Linked DNA regions of Mus musculus. The protein of the gene in region 1 purifies or fractionates together with the protein of each later gene. This does not show direct contact. Links are inferred from orthologs where the notes say so. Each region holds a gene or a part of one and is shown in the gene's direction. Other genes may lie near its edges. The genes, in order: Iars and Lars.

What was found.
Region 2: the proteins of Iars (region 1) and Lars purify together in Homo sapiens (affinity purification with mass spectrometry; 7 studies listed by BioGRID and IntAct, counting the BioPlex papers as one, with this or other methods). This does not show direct contact. The link is inferred for Mus musculus from reciprocal best matches to the Homo sapiens genes IARS1 and LARS1.

Annotation. Positions count from the first base shown.
Region 1 is NC_000079.6:49,723,317-49,727,130, forward strand, and holds part of Iars (isoleucine--tRNA ligase, cytoplasmic), read left to right. Parts: intron 1-1,301; coding exon 1,302-1,476; intron 1,477-1,904; coding exon 1,905-2,017; intron 2,018-2,842; coding exon 2,843-2,938; intron 2,939-3,810; coding exon 3,811-3,814. UniProt on the Homo sapiens protein: Catalyzes the specific attachment of an amino acid to its cognate tRNA in a 2 step reaction: the amino acid (AA) is first activated by ATP to form AA-AMP and then transferred to the acceptor end of the tRNA.
Region 2 is NC_000084.6:42,227,357-42,231,170, reverse strand, and holds part of Lars (leucine--tRNA ligase, cytoplasmic), read left to right. Parts: intron 1-1,143; coding exon 1,144-1,229; intron 1,230-1,314; coding exon 1,315-1,380; intron 1,381-1,459; coding exon 1,460-1,542; intron 1,543-2,374; coding exon 2,375-2,513; intron 2,514-2,952; coding exon 2,953-3,165; intron 3,166-3,814. UniProt on the Homo sapiens protein: Aminoacyl-tRNA synthetase that catalyzes the specific attachment of leucine to its cognate tRNA (tRNA(Leu)).

The DNA of each region.
Region 1 (3,814 bases):
CCTGTCTCGAAAAACCAAAAGGAAAAAAAAAAAAGAAATTGTTCGTGATCAGTGTGGGTTTCTTTAGTCTCATCTACTTCTCCTCCTCAGAGTAAAATTTTATAATTAACAAGAAAGTTTTGCTTCTTCAAATGATGAACTATAGCTATTTGCAGTTTGTGAATGCACTAGGGGTAGTATGTCTAATAAAAGGTGGGCCAGTGTACACCCTCCCTGTCTCCAGGATTTCATTTGCCCTCTGAGAAAGGTTCCCAAGATTTTACACATTTATGCATACATATATTTATATATGTAGCCTTTGAGAGGTGTCAGGACAGGGCCTCACTTTGTAGCTTAGGCTAGTCTTAGACTCAGTTCTCCTGTCTTAGCCTTCTGTGTGCTGGGATCAAAGCAAATGTTCCCTGTTTAGTGGAAATATGTCACTAGCACAGTGGCATGAAGTAATGTGATTTCACACTTGGTTAAATGGTAATGATAGTGCTCAGGATTGCTTGTGTAAGTGTGCCCTTGAGAGATGAATTTATATTTCAGGGCCCACCCCACCCCTTTATTTTTAGTTTTTGTTTTGAGACAGGGTCTCCATGTAAACCAGGTTGAACTCACAGAGATCTCCTGCCTCTGTGCTATGAATGCTGAGATTAAAGGCACGCACCAGTACCAACCTTGGCTTCTTTTAGTGATGTTCAACTCACTTGATTGGTCTCGACAAGAGCATTGCATTTCTGTGCCATCCCAGATGGTATTCTAGATGTAGTTGTGGAGTTGCACCTAGTGTCAGACTCATAGACCGTTCCCCTCTATCTAAAAGGAAGGCTAATCTCCCTCATCATTCGCTACAATCTGATCGTCGACTGGTAATCACAAATATATTTTCTGCCTGTGGATTTGCCTTCTTTAGACATTTCATAAAGAACAGTTTGTCATCTACTGTGTGTGGCTTGTGTTGCTCAGCGTCATGTTTGTACAGTTCATTCACATAATTCTTTTATCTTGCTAAACACTCCAGTGTGTGTATAAACCATGCTTTATTTTTACCTAGTCACACCTGCTTTGTTCTCTGTGTGGTACTGGGGATCCAAACCAGGGCCTTGCACATTCCAGGCAAGCATTTATGTGCCTTGATGCCTTGATCACAGATGTGCACATCACAGCCCCACCCATTCAGTGGTTGACTGGCATTTGGGTTATATCTGCTCTTTGCCTCCTGTGAATAGCGCTGGTATGGATGTTCGACTGCATGTCCAATGTGAAACAGATTTCTGTGCCTCACAGTTTCGCTTTTCCTTTGGTACTCGCTGTAGGAATTAAATGTTCGAAAAGTCACGCTGTCTACTGATAAAAACAAGTACGGTATCCGACTAAGGGCTGAACCAGATCACATGGTCCTTGGGAAGCGCCTGAAGGGGGCCTTCAAAGCGGTGATGATGGCCATAAAGCGGCTGAGCAATGAGGAGCTGGAGCGGTTTCAGAAGAGCGGTGGGTGTCCGCCTCCGTGTCCTCGCCCGAGGACCACTTCATCTTTAAGCAATGTTTTCATCCCTTCCTTCATCCTGTTCATAAGAACTCAGCTGTAAATACCAGTGACTTTCCTAGACAGGTGCTTGGTATCCCACCTTGCTATTGCAGCCTCGGGGTGCTGGTGTCCTGTTATAATCTGCCTGATTTCCCTCCAGTTCTATATACTTCTAGAGTCAGCCTTAGCACAGTGGCTACAGTGGGCTTTCCTAAAGGACGTCACCCATCAACAGCTCTCCACACTTCCTCCTGCTTGCCCCTGGCAGACACACAGTACCCAGCACCTCACGCTGTCCCCTCATTTCACTTGCACCAACCCTTGGTAGGCAGCAGAATGCCAGGGTCATCAAGGGAGGGCACGGCACGCTGACAGTCTGCCTTTCCCACAGGGAGCATTGTTGTGGAAGGCCACGAACTGCATGAGGAAGACATTCGCCTCATGTACACCTTTGACCAGGCCACGGGAGGGACCGCGCAGTTTGAAGCACACTCTGATGCTCAGGTATTTTTGTGTTCCTTCAAAGTTGATTGGTTGATTGATTGATTGATTGATTGATTGATTGATTGATGTTTTTGAGACCAGGTCATGTAGTTCCTCTGGCCTTGGACTCACTGTGTAGCTGAGAATGTCCTGGAACTCCTCCCTCCACCTCTGGGGAGTACAGGGATTGCAGGCTTGTGACGTCATCTCCAGCCTCCTAGAATATTTTTCACCAGCAGAGGAGAACGTGGGGGGCACATATTTTAACCTGCCTCGCATCGGTCCATTCCCTGTTGAGCTGCTCTCTTGATCTGCTGTGTGGATCCTGACCCTTTGAATTTGTTTATCAGATGCTTAAGTGAGCATTTCGTGATTTGTTCTAGAGGATTATTGTCCTAGTTACTGGGTTGCACCAAAATTAACCCTAGAAAACATATGGAAGGTCGTGAGCCTCCATGGGGGTCCTGGAAACTCAGCCCGAGTCTTGCAAGATCACTGTGTGCTGAGCCATCTCTGCAGTCGGAACTACTTTTTAAAAAGACCTTGTCTTTTTTAAACATGTATGTCTTAGTCTCACATGCGTGGGTATGAGGGTGCAGGTGCCACAGCGTGCGTGTGTGCGTGCGTGCGTGCGTGCGTGCGTGCGTGCGTGCGTGCGTGCGTGTGTGTGTGTGTGTGTGTGTGTGTGTGTAGGTCAGAGGACAAATGGCAGGACTCTGTCAATTCCAGGGATCAATCTGTAGGCCGCCTGTCTCTGTCCCACCTGCCAGTCCTAGCTGCAGTTCACCGAGGGAGTTAGAAGGACCCGATATTATTCCATTGCCATGCGCTCTGTTCTTTCTGCAGGCTCTAGTTCTCTTAGATGTCACACCTGACCAGTCAATGGTGGATGAGGGCATGGCTCGGGAAGTCATCAATCGCATCCAGAAGCTTCGAAAGAAGGTCAGTCGGTTTCTTCAGGGCCGTGCTGTGGCTTTGGGTTTGTACTGGATTTATTTAGAACGTTGGGGAAGAGAGACGAGGCAGGCAGTATAAACCATAGTTATCAGTTGGTGGTAATGATTCATTAATCCGTGGTCCCTCTGATTATACTCCGCAGGGAAGGCAGGCCCCTCCCTCCTTCTCTACCCACTCCTGGCCTGGTATCGCTCACTTTCTCTGACCAAGGGCTTTAGCCCATCCATCCTTCTTCCATTCCCTTGGGCTTCCACAAGGCTGCTACAGAATTATCTTCCAGAAAGATCACTCTCTGCTGCTACAGAGGGTAACCAGAGATGATAGAGTGTGTCCAAGTAAGACAGAAGTCAGTTTGGAGGGTTCTTAGCTGAGGAGAGAGATCGCTGGATCTGTATAGACTGAGGTGATATTCCTTGTTAGGACAGATGAACAAGGTGCATGCAGCCTTGACCTGCAGGAAAAGGCATCACTGAGTCTCCAAGGTCTGAGAGTCAGAAAGCTTACTCCTAGGGACCTGTGAACTGGAGAGCAGCATGGGTGCTCAGGGCACGTGGTTCTCGTCTGAGGAGGGCACTGCTGCAGGCGGCAGGCACTTTTGTCCTGGTTCAGGGCTCTGCAGTTAGCTTTGCTAAGCTTTTATCTCAGCACTCACAGGGTGCCGACTGCACTAGGAAAAGACATTCTGCCTGCTACCCCATAGGGAGAAGTGGGTAAAAGAACACAGAAGAGTGGATGCCAGACTCACACGTATCCTTAGGGGAATGACAGCTCAGCACACACTTGCTCTCATTCAGCAGGACCTTTAGTTTGGTAAACAAGTGCGCTTCTCTTCTAAGTTTTTCTGTATGCTATTTTAGTGCA
Region 2 (3,814 bases), on another chromosome or scaffold:
CAGTTCTCTTTCCAGGGTTGTCATTTTTCACTTGCAGAATGGAGTCATTCCACTCATCTCTGAGCCTTTGGAGAATCTCCTGTGCAAGTGGGGTTTCTCCTCAGCTTTTTCTTCTGCTGCTTAAAATTGATCCAGCTTTCTTCTCTCTTCATTTGTTTGATTCTTTAACATGGGCTTCAGCCTAGGGCCTTGTACATTCTTGCAGTCTCTCTACTACTAAGCCACACCCCACCTCAGCCTGCCTCGTCCCTGCTGGAGCAGCTCTCACTTGTTCAGCCTTTCCTTTCCTTTCCTTTCCTTTTTCCTTTCCTTTCCTTTCCTTTCCTTTCCTTTCCTTTCCTTTCCTTTCCTTTCCTTTCCTTTTCTTCTCCCCCTCCCCCCACCTGCTTGTCCTTGTAGTCAGTCCATCTCTTCATCTTCTTTTTTGTCAGTTGCTAGAATTTTTAGAGGGAGTAATGTCTATTTCTAACTTACTGTTTACAAACCAAAAGCATAGCTACTTAGTTTATATTGAAGAATTGAACTTTAAGTGTGGAGCAGTGAGTCATTTTGGTAGTGGTAATATAGGATTTGAATTTTAAAAGTTATCCTAGCTTTGCAATGTATTAGGAGATATTTATATCAAGTAAAAAATAAAATAAAATTAGAGCCCATGTGGTGGTGCATACCTATCTCAGTACTTGGGAGGTAGAGGCAGGAGGAGCAGAAGTTCAGGATCACCCTCCACTACATAGCAGATGTGAAGCTAGCCTGGACTAAATGAAACCCTGCCTCAAAACACCAAAATTAAGTAAGTTGTAGTTAGTTTTCTATTTAGAACTGAATTTGTAATAGCTCTAAAGTTTATAATAAGATTTTTTAAAATGTTTAATCTATATTTTTTCTTTTTAAAAACAGTAGTATCTATTTAGTTTTTCTTTTAATTTTCTTTGTATTTTTATAACAAAGATGGAAAGCTCTCAGAAGCCCAGCCCTCAAAGCATAAGGTTAGAAAGCGCTAGGATGACGAGTAGCTTGTAAAGTGGTCCGGTTGATTCTCTGCTCAGAAGCAGCAGCTGCATGGGAAGGCACGTCGCAGCAGCCTGGGGAAGGAAGGCTGGCTTGGACATGACATCTGCCCTGTCTTTATTTACCTTCCCTTAGGGAGATGCGCTTATCTACATGGAGCCAGAAAAACAAGTGATGTCGAGGTCTGCAGATGAGTGCGTCGTGGCCCTGTGTGACCAGTGGTTAGTCCCTCTTGTAACAAGGAAATTGCGTGAGTCACTCTGGTCATTTCTGACATTAAGAAGAGCTTCTTTTGTTCACTCCCAGGTACTTGGATTATGGAGATGAGAACTGGAAGAAACAGACATTTCAGTGCCTGAAGAACATGGAAACGTAAGATGGGAGAAAGTGAGAGGGGTGCGGAGTGTGGCTGATGAAGGGAAGGATACATTTTGGCCTTTGTTCTTCTTAGATTCTGCGAGGAGAGCAGGAAGAATTTTGAAGCTTCCTTAGACTGGCTACAAGAACATGCTTGCTCAAGAACGTACGGTTTAGGTCAGCAAACTTCTCATACTTGTGTTTGAATGATTTTTGTTAGATAGACAGAAAATGCACTGTTTCCCCCCTTCCCTCCCCCTTTCTCCTGGTGTTTGCTAGGCGAGAGGATGAGAAAGAAGACCAGGATGTGGTTCCCAGTCACCCATCTAATGCTCGATAGAGCCTCTGACCCACATGGCTTTTATATTACCATCTGTTTATATATTTACCTTGTGTGTATGCGTGTGACTATGGTGTATGCATAGGTAAATGCACATCTAGGAGCAGGGTGTGTATGCCTGTGCCTGTGTGGAGGCCAGTAGAGGATGTCTGGCTCTATATAGGGATCACCTTTCACCTTACTTCATTGATACAGTCTTTTGTGGAACCTGGAGCTAGGCTAGCAGACAGAGCCCCAGTGATCCTCCTATCTCTCCCCATAGTTCTAGGGCTCAGGGATTCAGGATTTTACATAGGTGCTGCAATCAAAATTCTGGTTTTTATGTGTGTGCAGCAAGAGTTCTTACTTACTGAGCCCTCTCTAGCCATATGAGGTTTTTATTAAAGGACTCCAGCGGTTCAGTTAGCTTTGGTTTTGTTTACTTATTTTACCTTTACAAACTATAGAATTTAGGGCTTCTTAGGGTTGTGATGTAGCTCAATGGTCGAGTGCTTGCCTACCATGTACAGAGCCTTGGCTCAATTCCTAGTACCACAAACAAACCAAAATAGCAATAGCCCACACCCAGAACAGCCTGGGAAGGTCCTAGATAAGAAGCCTTGGAGATGTGGCTTCTGCCGGGGAGTCTCAGCTTCAGTCAGCATCAATTCTTTTCTTTTTGTCTCGTAGGCACTCGTCTGCCTTGGGATGAACAGTGGTTAATCGAATCTCTCTCGGATTCCACAATTTACATGGCGTTCTACACAGTGGCACACCTGCTGCAGGGGGGTGACCTGAATGGGCAGGCGGAGTCTCCACTGGGCATCAGGTTGGTACATAGTTAGGGAAAAGAAGCTCTTCAGCTGCCCACGTTGCAACATCTTGGCTTACATATTTAGAAATTGGTTCTTTCACGTTTACTTTTCTCAAGAATTTGGCTAGCAAGAGGCATTCACTTTTAATCTCAGTATGTAGCAGGCAGAGATAGGCCATTCTCTGTGAGTTGAAGGACAGCTTGGTCTACGTAGTGCGATTCTGCCTTTAAAGAAAAGAGCTTGGTTAGCAGTCTTTTGTTATAGTTCACTTTTCTACTGTACAACTGAGGAAGATGACTAAGTCGCTCCTCCTGTGCATCATGCCTTCTTGTTCTCAGGGGATCTGATGTTCTTGTTTGATAGTGTAACTAATTGAAATTTTAACACATGATTAGGTGGAAATTCTGATTCTTTCACTATAACAGTGCATTTGTTTACTTAATTTCAATGCAGACCCCAGCAGATGACAAAGGACGTTTGGGATTATGTGTTCTTCAAGGATGCTCCATTTCCTAAGACTCAGATCCCAAAGGAGAAGCTGGATCAGTTGAAGCAGGAGTTTGAGTTTTGGTACCCAGTGGACCTTCGAGCCTCTGGCAAGGATCTGATTCCAAATCATCTTTCATATTACATTTACAACCATGTGGCCATGTGGCCAGAGCAAAGGTAATGCTCAAGTCTGGTGAGGTTCGTTTATTGATAGTCAGTAAGGATGCCTTAAGGCTTCAAGCATCTTAAGGGATGGCTATGGAAGGGTTAGTTGGATTTGTTACGGTGTGCATTAATATGGAATGTGTGCTTCTCCCTGTCACATGTCAACAGCCTAAAGAGTATGCGATGTATATTTCAGGTTATCAAGGGCACTGGTCTGCTCGGTGCAGGAGTGCAGCAGTCTTAAGATAGGTTGTAGAGTGCATAATGCAGTGTGTGCTGATAACAGGGTGCTCGTGACCTTTCACCCACCACTGCACTTAGTCCACTCTCCTTTGCTTCTCCTTCAAAAGAAACAAATGTTCATACATATTCTGAGAACTGGAAGCTCTGTATTTATATTCATGCAAAGGTATATGTGCTCTCTGTTTCTTTTGCATAATTGCATATTTTCAAGATCTTCCTGATCTTGTTTCCATAACTTGGGTTCTTTTCAGTTGCTTCTTGTTGAAAACAGGAGCACAGCACAGGGAGCACATCTGTGGGATGAGTCAAGTCCTGTTTCTGAGCCCTAGAACTTCGAAGCAAAATCCACCCACAATTGCAATGCATGGTCTTGTCTCAACAAACTGCTCACTGTTAGCATATACTTCAGGGTATCATA